Linked DNA regions of Drosophila melanogaster. The protein of the gene in region 1 interacts with the protein of each later gene in a pairwise test. Each region holds a gene or a part of one and is shown in the gene's direction. Other genes may lie near its edges.

Region 1 (7,884 bases):
AGCAGCAAGCCGAAAGCAACAACTACAACACCGGGCAAACAAAAATAGAGGCGTAAAGTCGTTGTTTTTGTAGATGAAATGCTAAAACCTTCGATATCAGCTCTATTAAAGAAATTGATCCTAGAAGCTAGTGACATTGGATCATTAAATTTCGACTTGCTCTGATGGCAATACTTTTTTCAAGATGCTTAGGTCCATTAAAACCGTTGCTTATACACACAAATGTAGATAACAAACATGTTTAGGTGTCGTATTTTTGCAACTTAAAGTATATATGGCCAATTTATCGTCTTTAAAGTTCGGTCTTGTATTTAAGCCAATTTTGGGCTATATGTCTATTATAGCTGTCCCGCTCTAACACGCGCACACACACCAGTTAAGTTCGTTGTAGCAACGGCACATCGGTGTGAGCGTGTATGTATATCAGAACGTGTATTTGTGCGATTTTGCAACGCATTTACATTCTTTTTAGGTTACGTATCGATTTTGATGCAGAGTGAGGTTAGATCGAAAAACATCCAAGTTTTTGCATGCTTTACGAAAGCAAGGACATTTTTGAAATCCCCTCGGCGCCCTCTGCATGTTTCTGGTATCAGACGTTCGATAAAGACTAAACCCCGAAAAACCTAAAACGAGCAGGTTGCAAGCAGAAGCAAAAGCAAAACGGGCGGCGTTTTTATTCACCTATTGTACAATTTTATGTTTTTAGGGTTGCCAGGTATGCATTATGTTTATCATGAATATAATATAAAACCTCGATGTGTCCGATTAGACGCAAATCAAATGTCTTTAAATGTATAATTGAGACCATGATGTCGCGCAGGGTTGCCACCGGCAGGTCATTTTTTGTCCTATTGCAATGGCATTGCGGTATATAGTCTTGCCTACACGTCGGTAGTCTAGTCTAAAATATAGCATAGTAACAAATCCAGATATATATCAGATTTCGCCTGATTTGCAAATCGCGGTCACTTGACAACCCTGAAAACACAAATGTCTTTAAAGAGACTCGTACCATATCTGGCGTATGGTACCCGTACCCAGTCCAAATAAAAAAAAACTTCAAAACCCAGTAAAAAAAATGCAAATCCCAAATGTACCATTCGATTGGACCATTATATTACAGGGTATTTTTATAAAGAAAATTATAAATATAACATAAAATGGATAAAAAAAACTACACTTACCTTTCTACGACACGACAAACTCGTTTATTAACTTATATATTACCGAAAACTATTGAAATATGACTTGTGGTCTAACGGCAACTATCAAATGTCAATGATTTGAATGAATTTAACAGCTTCTCCGTGATTTGTTTACAATTCGCAGGCAACTCCACTTCCGATGCCCTTAAACGACGAAGACTGAAACACAGACTAAAATCGCACAACAACAGAAGGTGCCGAAAAGAACCAGTCTATGCACAACTGGTTCCGAAGAGCAGCGCCCAGATTGCAAGCTAGCGGCACTTGGAATAGAGATTGGCGCGTGATTCCGGATGCCGATTTCTGATACGCATCGAGAAGACATTTTTTATGGACGTTTCTAACAATACTTATTATTTTTGTATTTATTTAGGTTGGATTTTGGCAAAACTTATTTTATCTTATATTCAACTTTGCATTTTTACGCAATTTGTATTATTATTATTATTATTATTATTAACATGATGACCAGATATAACTTAAACTGGTTACCTTCTCATTACGATAGTAATATTATAAAAGGATGTATATTTAATAGCTGAGGAGAAGCAGCATTTCTATAGTATTTATATACAAAAATAAAAAACGTTATGCAGTTCATGCACGTGTACATCCCTAGTTTGGAACCAAACAAAATCATATGTTGTTACTAGGGCTGTATAGCTAAACGTTTTATTTATGGGAGCAGAACTATTAAGTGCCAGTTGGAACTAAGACGTGATCTCCCCTGTCCCTTCTTTTGCTTAAAACTGAATCATATTGACAAATGTTTTCGGCCCGTTTAAGTAATGTGACGTTCTCATGAAATACAACGGTGAACATTGCAAAAATCGTGTTATTTTCGTTAATTGTTCCAATGGGTGAACTAGTGAACGGAGTCAGCATGTGCCAGCCCTGATGGCTGCTTTGTTGAACTAGTTCCAGTTCCGGAGCTAGTGAACCAATAGCAAACGGAACAAAACAAAAACATCTGTAGATTATAGGTTAATTTGTTTTATAATAACAAATGCGGGAATTATTCAATTAAGATGAGCAATCTGCTGAATTTTGCCCTGCGGCAGGGCGTCAACTCCATCAAGCGCCTTAGCCTCCAGAGTTTCAGACTGGCAGCTCCGGCCATTGTAACAAAAACGCCGGTTACTTCCACGATAAAGAGATTCTCCTCCCAAGCCGCCCCCTTCGATGTGAACACCAGTGTCCCCAAGGACATAATACTTTTCAAGTATGAAAACCCCCGATTCTACCAGATGCTTAACTTTTTCGGGGTGTGTCAGTTTGTTTTCTGGACATATCTCTCGCACTTCGCCTTCACGACGCTTAAGGATGCTCCAGTGGTGGAAAAACCCGGAGAGGAGCTGAAGTGGTTCCAGCGCATAAATCTGGGCGATAATAAGTACAGAAATGGCATTACAGCCTGTAGCTTTCTGATAGGTAAGAGTGGTTTACTACGTTCTCGGCAAGCCGAAAATAAAACTCAACCAACATTTTAGGATATGGCATACTGTTTGCTGTCTGGATGTTTACCCTGCGATCGGTGCGTTTTCTTATCTTGAGAAAGGGTGGTCAGAGCGTTTCCTTTGTGACCTACGGTCCCTTCAACCGGAATCGCATTATGACCGTGCCATTAAAGTGCGTCTCCGCCGAGGAATCACGGAACATGGCCAGGGTGCAGCTACCCATTAAGGTGAAGGGCAAGACACTGTATTACGTCCTGGATATGCGTGGCGAGTTTCGGAATGGCGAGTTATTCGATTACACGGCGGGCCTCAAGCGTCGCATTTAAAGGGCAAGTTTTGTTGTTTTGTAGCTTATTATTTGTAAATAAAGATGTACACTAATTAAAACTAAAATGCGGCTTAGTAAATGGGCTCCGGCTTCTGGGTGAGCAGCAGTCCAAAGCGCTTCTTGATGGTCAGCCTCTGGCGGGAGTACTTATCCTCCGGTGAAAAACGTGCTGGATGAGCAGATAGTGTGGGACGACCATCCTCGGTGCGTTTCTAGAAGAGCAACAAGTGGTGACTTAGTTGGGTAATATATATATAGGGTTTTGATAATAATATACCTTCAGGGTGTAAACGCGATCGCCGTTTTCGTTAATTGTGTACATCAGATACATTTTTGCAGTTTTTGGATTGTTTTTCTGTAGTCAAAGAAGCAGAAAATAAAACACGTGTGGCGTGCGTTGCAAGGTGCTACCAGGCTTTAAAAAAAAATAAGCACTAAATAATCCAACTTAAGAGAATAGTCAAGCCTCGAACCGTGGAATAAATGTTAGCTAGATTTTCGTAGCTAGATCGCTTGTTATCGATTCACTTCCATCTCTAAGCATATTTGTATAGAATATTTGGCGGACTTTTGTACACAATGTCAAATAAAGTGGACAAGCTGCACAAGCAGGCTTTACGCGAACAACAGAAGCGTATTAAGCCCGGAGAATGTATGAAATATGTGCGGATGGTCATAGATGCCGGATTTCTGGGCATTCCCGTGGGCCAGGAGGCACTGCAGCAATTGAATGCGACGGGTTTGAAGTATGAAATAAGGAGCTTGCCCGTGAGCCACTGCATCCTGTGGGAACGCAATGTTGGCCAGCAGACGATTGCTCTGGGCAGCAGTCCCACCGGCCTAGATGAAGCCTGGAAATCGGAAAACCAAGTGGTCCAGTGGCTATCCGAAAGCAGCTTCCAACGGGCTGTAAAGGATCAAAGTCTAGTTTGCCTGGGACCGCGCTTGCAGGACTCATTTCCGGACTGCCAGTACACCATTGCCCTGCCAACGCTCCGTCACAGCAAGCATGGCAGCTCATCCAGCCAGGACGCTCTGATTGAGATGCAGTTGCTCCAGGAGCTACACGTGGAACAGCTAGATCAACCCGAAAGCCAGGATCTAGTGGCCCTGCTGCAGCGCTATACAAAAGCAATAGCCGAAGCCCCCTATAAGAAGCAACGCAACGAGACATTGGGAGGCTTCAAGAAATACCTGGCCAACGACAAGAAGCAGTGCGTCCGTGTGGATCAGGGAAACGGATACGGAAGACTCTGGCAGCAGCATCTGAATCGACTGCCAATGGTCACGCTGGAAGTGGCCGAGTCCATAATAGCGCAGTATCCCTGTCCCAAGAAACTGATCGATCATTTCTCCAGCGATCCACTGGCTGTCCAAAGTCTCGCCGATTTGAAGATCAAGCGATGCAATGGACCACAGCCTCTTCACACCGAGCGACGTATTGGAAATGTTCTCAGCAACAAACTGTATACATTGTATACTGCCAAGGATCCCAATACTCTAATTTAGAAAACTAAACTAAACTTTCTTAGCTTTAGAATCTGCTCATATATTAGCTTCCTAAAGTATGTACAATTATAATTAGGTTTTAAGTTAAGATCTAAGTATTTTACATTATTTTCTCATCGTATAAGGTATAATTTTAAAAATCACAATGTTCCTATACACATAACTATGAATTCAATTAATTGTGGTTTGCACACCTGAAGAATTGATAATATGTCCGCTTGGAAGTCGGAACTCTGTGAACATTGGATTGGGCGCGATGTGGAGAATGGAGTGTTGGCCATGGCCGATGAAAAACTTCAGTCCGTGCTCTATAGCGTGGCCAGAATCCGGGTGAATCCCAGGCAGGCGGAGACGATGGTCTGGCCGAGGCCCCAGATCATGGCGTATATGGGCGACATGGGCAGACTGGAGGCGCGATGCACAAAGGCGATGACTGCACTGCTGATTATGCCACTGGAGGCCGGGGAAAGGAAACCCATGACAAGGATGAGGATCGAGAAGAATCGTCCGAACTTGTGCTTCCGGAGCGTGAAGAAGGCCACCACGGCGGCGCAGGTGTGAATGAATATGGAGGAGAACAGGGCCCACAGAAAGACGTGGTACCACATTTCGCGAAACGTATTGAGACGCGCCTGTGACCGGAGTCCCATCACATCGGCGATGGTGTCCAACTCATCGGTGTCGTCCGAGAACATGGCTAAAACGTAGTCGATGGATGTTGACGTGGTATCCCTAGTTACTAGTTGCTAGTTATTGCTTTTCCGTTGGTCAGTTGAGTGTCCAGCCGCATGTCTGGTGGGGATTCCCTTTCTATAGCATGTATCCAGCCAATATTCATGGACCTGCAAACAATAACTCCCTTTAGACTTGACCTTCTGGCATTTAATTATACTCACGCCAACACATGTGTGTGCTAATGGCCACACCCATACCACATTTGTCGTATTCTATAGCCGGATTTGGATTGCAGTCTTTTTCAGTTGCTTGATCCTATTTAGCATGGCCTTAACTTCCGGTTAGCACTGTAGTTTAGCAAATGTTTGGCTTATTTTTAATTCGGTCAACAATCGATTGAACTTTCGTCACGGCACTCAATTAGCGCTCGGCTGGCGGCAGTGAATGCTAAATCGGGCCTAATTACCAGGCTACTGGTGTGCGGCAGCCCTAACTCCACATTTTGAGCAACACCAAACACTTTTAGTTGGTTTAATTTAATTTTATATTGTTCTTGTCTGCGATTTACTATGGCAATGGGAATGGAACGTTTGGGATTGGGCCAGTTCTGATAAGCAAACAGCTGTGACTCAGTTGCGAACTGGTTCGGGGCTTGCAGCGCAGCTCTAAATTATTATACTCAAGATATCCATATGTAAGGCAGATATCGTAGTGAAAAGTCACAGGGTTTTTAAGGTATATTCTTTTGTAAGCTGTGTTCAAATGCACTGCTTTCAGCACAAGCATGCTTATCGTTATCGAGCAGCGATAATCGGCGAACTAGTTCAACATAAACCTTCTTGGCACAAGTGACAACTCTGAAACCAATCCATAAACAAAAAATTTTGTGTAAACTAAAAACAAAAAGCGGAAGTTGAAAAACAACACCTTAGCGTATAATTTGGCCCCTTATGATTTGTTAAGTTTCTGTTTTGGAAAATGGGATGCTGAGATAGCCCTGAACAGGTGTAAGTCGTCCTCCTACACTATGACACATTTCTTCCGAGACGAACTTACATACATACGCACATATGTACACATATGTATGCATGTTTGTAACTGCATCCATATACGATATATGTATCTTACGCACTCGCGGCTATATACATATATATGCGGAATATATATGTATGTAAGCCGTCAATATGAGAATCGGTTGAAGTTAAGTCTTCATTTAAAGTGGCTATAGTACATATGTATATACACACTTTTAACCAGCATATGCTTGTGAATCGAGATTAATCAAAGGCCCTGCATTGCAGACTTCATATACTTCAAGCCCCACAAAACCAACGACGCATTTAATCAATGTTCTCCAACGGATTGCCGTGCAATCTGTCGTTTCCGAGCTGTCTCAGTGTACCAAAAGACGAGATCGGTAATGAAGAGCTACTGCCATCCAATATGGGTACTCGCGAGCCTGTTATACTCAATGTCTACGATATGGTAAGCTTACTTACTCCTGTTGCCCATGCGGACATCGCACAACGATAAATGTAACCTTGCATTTGCAGTACTGGATCAACGAGTACACCACCTCAATCGGCCTGGGCGTATTTCACTCCGGCGTAGAAGCCTTTGGCACCGAATTCGCATACGGCGGACATCCATTTCCGTTTACGGGGGTATTCGAGATCTCACCGAGGGATCACGACGAGTTGGGCGATCAGTTCCAGTTCCGGCAGAGCATCCAAATCGGCTGCACCGACTTTACGTACGAGGAGGTGCGACGTATCGTCGAGGAGCTGGGTAATCAGTTCCGTGGCGACCGATATCATCTCATGAACAACAATTGCAACCACTTCTCGGGCTCATTAACTCAGGTGAGACATAAATCGAGGAAACTTTCCACTGGGTGGATCCAATATCAAGCAATATTTTGGGTGTGCTTATGCATGATTCACCGATTGTCAGATACCGCCTGTTACAATCAGAAGTTCTTATTGTGAATCACCTCAAAAAGTAGGACAGATTACCATCCTAAACACGTCCAATACAATTAGATGCTTCCAAACGATTCGAGTTTAGGAGCAAGAAAATGCAAGCTTAAAAGCCCAAATGAATATTCATTTGACTATATCTGCAATTCCAATTACTCGTTCTAGATACTTTGCGGCCAAGAAATACCCAGCTGGGTCAATCGTCTAGCGCATTTCAGCTCCTGTGTGCCATTTCTACAAAGATGTTTGCCAAAGTAAGCCTTTCTAAGTGAAACAAAAGCCAAGTTCATGATTATTAACTACTCTATGTTGTTTTTTAGAGAATGGCTGACACCGAATGCCTTGCAGCAAAGCATTACCACAATCCAAGAGCGCGAAGACTCCGACAACAGTCCCCTTTGAGACGTTACCTGACCGAAAATATGTCACTTGGCGACACACAAGCGATCATAGTTCACATAAAACAACAGTCCTGAGACCAACATTGTTAAGTTACGCAGAGCAAAAAGCCGGGTTACTCATGTCACATCAATTTCCAAGCCAACAACGCCCCCTAAATAGAAAGCAACAACTATTATTAATAGACTTAAATTAGGCGATATACATATACATACTTACATAGAACAAACCTACATTGAGACATACTTATACATACATGCGAAGTGACTAAATTATTGGCTATTGTAATTTGTATTTGTAATATGACTATTCAGAATTAAGATATTATT
Region 2 (9,237 bases), 6.0 Mb from region 1:
GGGGCACTGCCGACTTCGCATTTGCATAAGATTGGCATTGCAGACAGTGAACTCTGTCGCTTCTGCTGCATGGAGGAGGAGAGCTCTGCACATATTATATGTGACTGCGTGGCGCTTTCCATCGGGACGAACAGACTCCTGGGCATGTATGTAGTCCCACGGAAAATAATTGCAGCCCTGAATCCCAATAAAATTCTGGCATTTATACAGTGCATTAGACGTCAGGGGGATCTTTGAAGGGGTAGTACAATAGAGCCGACTGGGTCGCAGTACACATAGAAACCCACTTAATAATAATAATATTATTCAAAATACAATATCCGAAGTTTTAACATCAAATGACACTATTACGTTGAAAAGCTTGATTGTCTTACCCAGCAATAGTATTTTTAAACAAAAATCAACCATTTGATCTACACAGTTTTTCTAATAACTAATAATAATTATTACGATATGTTAATTGGCAATAAATGCACAAGCATTTATAAATTAACAATATAGCACAATAATAGCACAGTTAACCTTTTTGACAAAACATACAAGTTGATTACTTCAGAGCCGAGAAGATATAAAAATTTTTAAATTCAAAAGAAACCAGAACCAAATAAAAACTCAGGTTTATTAAATAAATTAAAAAATCTTTAATATAAAGAGATGGATAAACAAACATTTATAAATACCATTAAACACACACTAAATACAACACATAACACATAACAAAATTTATTCCAGACATTACCCACTTGCTCAAACGCATGAAATTGAAGTCGAAAACCAAGTACACGAAATGCTCAATTAGGTATAATTCAGGGAAAGTAATTCGCCATACAACAGTCCCAGCTCGGTAGTTCGAAACTGATGCGTCTAGGAAACTTGTGTACAGAGTAGTAATTGATTATAAAAATTTAATGAAATAACTATCCCGGACAGATAACCAATATAATACATGGACGAAATCCTTGGTAAATTAGGAAAAGGTCAATATTTAATATTTAAAAACCATTGACCCAGAATCAATATGTAAATCTGCATTCTCCACCAAAAGCGGACATTATGAGTACATTCGAATGCCATTTGGCATGAATAATATTCTAATAAACATATATACACATATAAATAGATAATAAACACTGTTTAGTTTTTTCTCCACATCCCTTATTGAACATTTTAAATTCATTACAGATAGGCTTTTTAAAACTCCCAAAAGCAAATTTAAAATTGCAGCCAGATAAATGTAAATTTTTGAAAAAGGAAGCTAGTTTTCTTGGTCACATCGTAACCCCTAATGGTATAAAATCAAAACCTCTTAAAATAAAAGCCATAGATTCATATCCAATTCCAAAAAAAGGTAAAAGAGATCAGAGCTTCTCTTGGATTAACCGATTACAGCAAATGTATCCCCCAGACATAGCAAGACAAATAACCAAAGGTTTAAAAAAAAAGCGCACAGATATGTAGGTGCACAAAACCTTGGCTACACAGAGGCATTCAAAAAACTTATAGCTTTAATCCGTTTTCAAAAAAGTCTACTTTAACCACAGATGCCAGTAATTTAGCCCATTTGGCAGTACTTTCTCAAAATGGTCATCCTATATTCTTTCTTATCAGAACACTTAATAAACACAAATTAAATTACAGCGCTATCGAAAAATAATTACTCGCCATAGCTTGGGCAACAACAACTTTTCGACATTATTTACTAGGACGACAGTTTATCATTGCTATCATCAGGTTATCATTATCATCAACAAAAATCGATTATATTGAAGGGATGGAGAATTCAGTTGGCGATGCATTATCTAGAATTAAACTTGAAGAAAACCATCATAGGGAAGTTACTCAACATAGCGCAAAAGAAGACAACCTTATTCATTCATTCATTCAGTTATACAGAACATTACAAAATTAATTAAAGAACACAGAACACAGAACACAGAAACACCAAATTGCCTTTAAAATCACTCCTAATTGCTGAGGCAATCAACATCAGTTGAATTGTCATTTATTTTAAATTCGCTACACTTGAAGAGAAGAGATATGTGAAATTAAAACAAAGGACTGGATAGAATGCAGAAACGCAATAATGTGCATTTCCAATCAATCAGGTAAACCCAAAATACTAAAGGCAGACAGAGACGGAGCTTTTTCCATTTTGACTCTAAAGCGACGGCTTTAAGAAGAAGGAATCGAATTGCAACTTAATACGGCAGGAAACGGTGTAGCAGACGTCTAAAGACTAAATAATATAATAAATGATAAAATCCGTATAATCAATTCATCTGTTAAGCAAATTAGAAACAATCCTTTACTCATACAACCATAAAATAAATATTGACACTAAATACAGGAAAGATCCACTTCAAAGAGGAAAATAAAAAAAATTAAACCAAACCCATTTAAAAATGTAGATAAATAGATCAAGACCATTACAAAATACGAAATAGGGAAACCGAATACTACAAAACACAATTTAAGAAACAAAAGAAACCTAATACCGTTAAACTTCCACAGGAACCTTGTGTATAATTATGTTGTGTCTAACATTCACCACGGACCACAGTCAAAATATTCAAATAATCAACAAAGATTCCGACCTAGGCTACTTACTCTTCTTAAGCAATCCAATTCAAATATCATCACTGTCTAATAATTAATTTAACGGAAATCATTGTGATCAAAATCTCGATCTTTTGGTAACAAAATCACAGACTCGCCCACAATGAAAACCTTATACAAGAAGCTTCTAAAAGAATTAAATGATTAAATTAAATTAATTTGACAAAATAGGTTCACGTTTTATCAGAACATCAACTTGAATTGACCACAAAAATAACGAGTTCTTCTTACTCATTTCACATAGCCCTGGTAACCAGGAAACCATCAACACCATTAAAATAATTCCCTATCCTGACCATATGGGTATCAGTTAAACTATTTAGATAAAAAAAACATATTTTTTGAAGATGAGAATACAATTTATCATAACAAAAAAGAAGTTAACAATGAATGCATTAAAAATATAATTAAGCGGAAGAATCCAATTTGAAATTATATGCCGACTCCCTCAAAGGAAATTATCTAGTACGTTGAACCAAATATTATACTTACATACAATCTCTCAAAATAAACAATGTAAAATAAAGATTGGAAATGCTATTTTAGGCGAAAATTAATGAATCGACTAACCTTCTTATACATCCCCAGTCTAAATTTGGAAAACAAGACAAAGTAATCAAGAACCACTACAAGAAATAGAACCGGCACAAAACTAGTTGCCTACCCTGTAATACCAGCCCAAGCATTATAATTTTTAAGAGAGGAGAAGGGATACACATAATTAGCACTGTCCAAAGAAATAAGAATATTCTTAATATCAATATACCAAGCCGGCGGTCTCGCTCTCGAAATAATATAAACAACTGGGCAATGAGTGTCCTATTCACATAATCCCACGCCAGTGTACATCACATCCGCTAATTGCTATCGATAATACTGTCTATGTCAAAATAATGTAAACAAAAGGGCAGTGTAAGAAAGATATTTGTCACTAACATTTAGTCTTAAACTGTGATCAAAAGAATAAAGACGTTATCCTTAGTCAACTGACGGGACATTAGTTCCACTCAATAAACACAAGCATTTCACTATATATATTTTTATAATTCTTTAGAGAGTTTTCTTTAGACGAGTTTTAGAACTCGTCTATCGTTCATTATGGAATCTGTTCGTTCTGAGGGTGACAGTTACTCAATCAAACTAAGGTCGAACATTTTTGAATTTTATGCTGTTCATGGTGTTCCTATCATCATCGTTCCTAATAATTATAATATTAAATTTGTCGACATGCATATATATGTATATAGTTTTCATTCTAGACCTCTGGTCACATTAACTTTATCTGAATATATATACACAATTTTATAACTTATGCTAGAATGGATTTTAATAATGACTTATCGCCTATTGATATTTTGACATTTATAACAGATGAACTGTTGCAAGCATACAAAAGCAGTAAAGGAGAAAATGAAAAGGCTGGGACAATTGTCAAGTTTCTTGACCGATGGAATGACGATATCTCCATTGCAAAACTCAAGGATCTCACTGTTGAATTTGAATCAGGTAAAAGGAAATTATAGTTATCAATGCTTCATATTATTAATTGCTTTACTTCAGATTTAGAGTGGTTCAATGTAAGTTGCCCCTTATCGATAAAAGGACTGCAAGGAAAAGTTATCATATTAGACTTTTTCACATATTGCTGCATTAATTGTATGCATGTGCTGCAAGAGTTGCACTTATTGGAAGAACGCTTTCCAATAGAAAGTGGTGTTGTAGTAATCGGTGTTCACAGTCCTAAGTTTGAAAATGAACGCAATGCGGCAAACATTCTGTCCGCTGTACAACGATATGGAATATCACATCCCATTGTCAATGATTCACGATCTGGAATGTGGCGCGCTCTTGGAATTCGTTGCTGGCCTTCTCTTTTGATTCTAAGCCCGACTGGTGTTCCGATGATGTTATTAATGGGTGAAGGGCATGGAAAATTCCTACAGGATTTTTTTTCTTCTGCCCTATCGTATTTTAGCCGTCAGGGTATAATTGACCATAGGGGTTTACCTTTAAAATTATTTAATGACTTTCAACCAGCATCTAACTTGCGTTTTCCCGCAAAGATTGTTCAAGGCCCTAATGGCCTGTATGCTATTGCTGATACGGGGAACAACAGGGTGCTTGTGCTTACAGCAGGCGGTGTGGTACAGCACAGAATTGGAGGACACCAGCCTGGTTTCGTGGATGGAGACCTAACAGTGGCACGGTTTAATAATCCTCAAGGCATTGCGTTTCTTAATGAAAACGTTTTGATTGTAGCGGACACTAAAAACCACGCCATTCGTCAGATCTCTCTAACAAATGCAATGGTGGAAACTCTTGCTGGCACAGGAATTCAGGGAAATGATCGAATAGGTGGACGTCTAGGACCATTGCAACCACTGTCGTCACCGTGGGATGTTGCCATATTTCGAACGAGGGACATGGATATGTCCTTTCATCTTGATGAACGTAACATACCAGAAAAAACAATTATCCTTATATCCATGGCAGGCACCCACCAGATTTGGGGCTATTTTCCCGAAGGAATTATTTGGTGGAAATTTCGTAAATTTGAGCCTTGTTGCTGTGTCTCACTAATAGGAAATGGTTTGGAAGAGAACCGTAATAATTCTTACCCACAGAACGCTGCATTCGCACAGCCATCTGGCCTGGCCATAGCGGGAGACGTTTTATATATAGCTGACAGCGAAAGCTCTAGCATACGCAAAGCTTCTATGATAGATGGAAAGGTTATGCCTGTCGTCGGAGGAGATCGAAACCCACTTGTATGTTCCATGTCATGAATATGAGTTATATAGTCTTCAAAATTAATGTATGATTTTTCTAGAATTTATTTGCATTTGGCGACATTGACGGTAGACTATTCAGCGCGAAACTCCAACATCCGTTAGGAGTGACTTTCAATGATACCAATAACAAACTCTATGTTGCTGATACCTATAATCATAAAATCAAAATTATTGACATCGATTCAAATGATATATCTACTCTACAAATTAAGAGCCAAGAAAATACTAACCTGATTTTAAACGAGCCCGCCGGACTGTGCTTGGATGCCAGCGGACGGAATTTGTTGGTAGCTGATACCAATAACCATTCAATACATACAATAGATTTGGTAACGCTTATAGCACAACCGTTTGGCTTAGATTTCAGACAAATAGCGTCCGCTAGTGAAATTGATGCGCCACAAGATACACAAAAGCCTACGGAAAATAATATAGTTAAAGCATTGCCTCTTGATTTAATTAAACCAAGTAAAATTTTTTTTAACCTTCGGCTTTCGCCCAGATTTAACTTTACAAAGGAAGCTCCTCAAAAATGGATAGTGAAAACTGTATGTCAATCTGTAATAGTAAATCCAACGTGCGGAAATCTACTTGATGGGATGTGCCACATGCAGGTGCAGGCTACTAGGCCTGATTTTATGTGTGAAAGCAGTCAAATATTTACCATCGAATTCGTATTAAATTTATGCCTTTCAAATTGTTGCCTAGTAAAAAAAATCACGGTTTCTATAAAACGCGATGACATACAAGAAGAATATATATCCATCCACAACGTAAATATTGACATTGAACAATAAAAAATGTTTTGATAGAAAAGTTTTGCATATATCCATAATAATGTTTCGGTATGTACATTTATATCCTTTACTCTCAGTGTAAATAGTTCGAATGTTTGTTTTAAATTAATTATAACCGCAGAGTATAAACAAAGATACTAGAATAACAAGATGCGTAACGCCAAAGATTTTTTGGCACACGATTTTTTCGTTGTGGCTCTAGAGGTGGATCCAGGCTCTCTAGAATTTTTGTTCGAGAGCGGAGAGCGTTACAGCTCCTTTCTACGCATACAGTGACAGCAGACAACTGTATGTGTGCACACGTATGCTCATGCATTGTGAATTTGACAAAATATTCCCTTCACCTTAGAAGTTTTTAGGCTTAAATCTATATTATTTTTGATCAATTGGCACGTTATTATTATTTAAATATAGCTGAGAAATAGTAATAGCCGAATCATAATAACACAAAATAAATTTCAAAATGACTTTATATTAGAATATTTATAGAGTATTCAGCAAAGCAAAGACACTAGAATAATTCTAGTGTCTTTGATATGACTTTTGCAATAAACAGTTTTCATATTTTTTTTTATTTTATAAATTTATAAATTTTTTTTATAAATTTATTCGTATTATTTTTATGAAATATTTATTTTTCAATGTAATGTCTTCTTTTTGGAAAATTTATGTTTTAAATTACAGTAGTTATCATAATTTCCTTTGTATTTGCTTTAATTATTTTATATTTATAAAGTCATTTGACTTAATATGAAGTATGTAAATGATCCAATTTTATTATTTAAAATGCACATTAGATTCAGTTGTTTTTCATATTCATTTTTTTTTTTTTGTATTCCAATTTGATATAGATATAATATATAGATATAAAATTCCGATTTAATATGATATGATGATTTTTTGTATCGGCATACGTATTTTGACAAGCCTTTAATGCCAAAAAAGGTTAAACGTACATTAGGAGTATTGAAACAATTAATAAAATATATACCCTCCTTTGGCACAAATAACTTTTTGTAGTAAGTCCGTTACTGAATCCACCAAATTGTGAACGATCTCTGGTGTCAAATCTTTCTCTCGAGTTTTGTGTAACTAAATTTTATGAAACAAGTCGCCCAACCCATTGTAGGCAACACATCCCCACAACATCATGGCCGAAGGCCTTATTTTTTGCCTTTTCTGAGTTGGTAATCTTACCAACAATTTTTTGTTTTGACGATTTACTATCACAAAAGCTTTCATCCATATGTTTCTTTGGCATATTTCAACATTTTACACTTGAACATTTTTGAAATATACGGCACATCCTTAGCAATCTATGTTCCTTTAAATTGCCAGACTGTGCAGTCACTGATTGCTTACGTTTACTTTTCGTGAGGCTGGCGGTCAGATTCCACTGAGTTACAACGGATTGGGCTGGTAGGGTTTTTTTTTTAGTTCCCGTATAAGGATTTTGTCGTCAGCGATTGTTCATTATTAAATCATTAAATCATTATGTTTTTTAAACGTTTTAATTTGTTAATACACAGTTTGACGATACACATTAAACCCTTTCGCATTGTTTTTTACTTTAATTCCAACGTTAAACGTTAAAATATTTATTTATGCAGTTTGCTAGTGTATGTATGTAACAGATAGAAGAAAGCGTTTCCGACTGTGTTATGTTCTCACTAGCCAAGTCGATCTGACCATGTCCGTCGTCCATCCATCTGCTTATACTAATAAATGCTGTAATATCAAGATTAAGATGGGCACGACCACATTTTTGAAAAAAAAAATTTTCAGTTTTATTACTTGGAAACTGTCTACTTGTCTACAATATAACTGAAATACCAAAATCACTTTATCTGTGCCCATTTTAGCGCCCGCAAGCTGAAAAAGCAAACCTGTCACGCCCACATTTTCGTAAATTTTCAGATTTTTGTTTGTTTTTTCTTTGCTATTCAACCAAATTTTTAGATTTCTTTATACCATTACCAATGAGTATCAGTTATCTATCATTCTTTTATTTTATAACCGTTACTAGTAGGGTGCAGGAAATACAAGATTCATTAAGAAGTATGTAAGATGCATGCGAGAAATGTGCACGAAGAAGGGTGGCATAAAGAACCAAATATCTACATAAATGAATTACTTCAAGTGGCTTATATTCAGCTGCTCTCCTAAGTACGAAAACTCGGGGGACTCCAACTCTTTTAAGAAGCATTTATGCGGATACGAGTGTTACATATAATAGCCATAATGATGTGATCCCTTCGGTACGGTGATTGGGTTACTGTCATTAAAATCCAACGAAGAGTTCTGCAGTCGACCATCTACTCGAAGAAGTCCAACTTAGTAAATTAAATGAAGGCTGTTCTATTCCTTGAGTGTTCGCAGAATTATCAAGCAAGACGAAGATCCATTATTCGTTTCTCTGTTAATGCGGTGCAATTCGTGGGCATTTCTGGCACACGCTTGACTTGACCACGTACAGCAGTTGTTCCCACGTTGGAATTGACTGACTCACCGGGTCCAGCATTTGAAGAAGTACTTGGACGATGACGCATCCACCGATTTGTGCTGTTGAGCACATTCCATTTAGAGCGCGAATATGATCGTGTGATAGTTAAGCTTTGAAACAAAACCACTCCGCACTGCAAAAAATCTCAGTAATTGTGCCTGGAGCTGGCAGGCAGCAGCGTGTGTCTATTTGAAAAAAAGTCACTATTCCAGATGCGACAAGTCTGGATGCGACTTTAACGCCTTTGGCCTATAATGATCTTAAAGCGTGCACGGTCTTCATTTTCACAAGTGAGCTGTTGGATCTGCTCGCTCTTTGCTTAACTGTAAGAACTATAAAATTGCACTGTACGCACGTGCTGGGGGCATTGCTAGGAAAATTGCGGCGCTTGTTACAAGCAAAATTCCACGACCATCAGACTGTGCATCATACCATCGTTTCAATCAGACCGGTTCGCTGTTCTTGATGCACGAGGATGAGGCCAAGTGTTCCACAGCAACGAGCATGCGTCGCAGGTCGAAAAAAAATC

Evidence for each region.
Region 2: the proteins of mms4 (region 1) and CG12547 interact in a two-hybrid assay, tested with the Drosophila melanogaster proteins (one large-scale study listed by BioGRID).

Annotation. Positions count from the first base shown.
Region 1 is NT_033778.4:10,807,553-10,815,436, forward strand, and holds mms4 (methyl methanesulfonate sensitivity 4), read left to right. Parts: upstream 1-3,525; 5' UTR 3,526-3,572; coding exon 3,573-4,502; 3' UTR 4,503-4,663; downstream 4,664-7,884. Other genes in the region: CG12935 (uncharacterized protein), read left to right, coding at 2,237-2,639, 2,699-2,991; Nop10 ribonucleoprotein, read right to left, coding at 3,065-3,205, 3,271-3,324; CG12341 (uncharacterized protein), read right to left, coding at 4,811-5,197; CG7222 (uncharacterized protein), read left to right, coding at 6,525-6,662, 6,731-7,039, 7,322-7,410, 7,477-7,558.
Region 2 is NT_033778.4:4,783,285-4,792,521, reverse strand, and holds CG12547 (uncharacterized protein), read left to right. Parts: upstream 1-3,879; 5' UTR 3,880-3,935; coding exon 3,936-4,122; intron 4,123-4,176; coding exon 4,177-5,384; intron 5,385-5,446; coding exon 5,447-6,205; 3' UTR 6,206-6,667; downstream 6,668-9,237.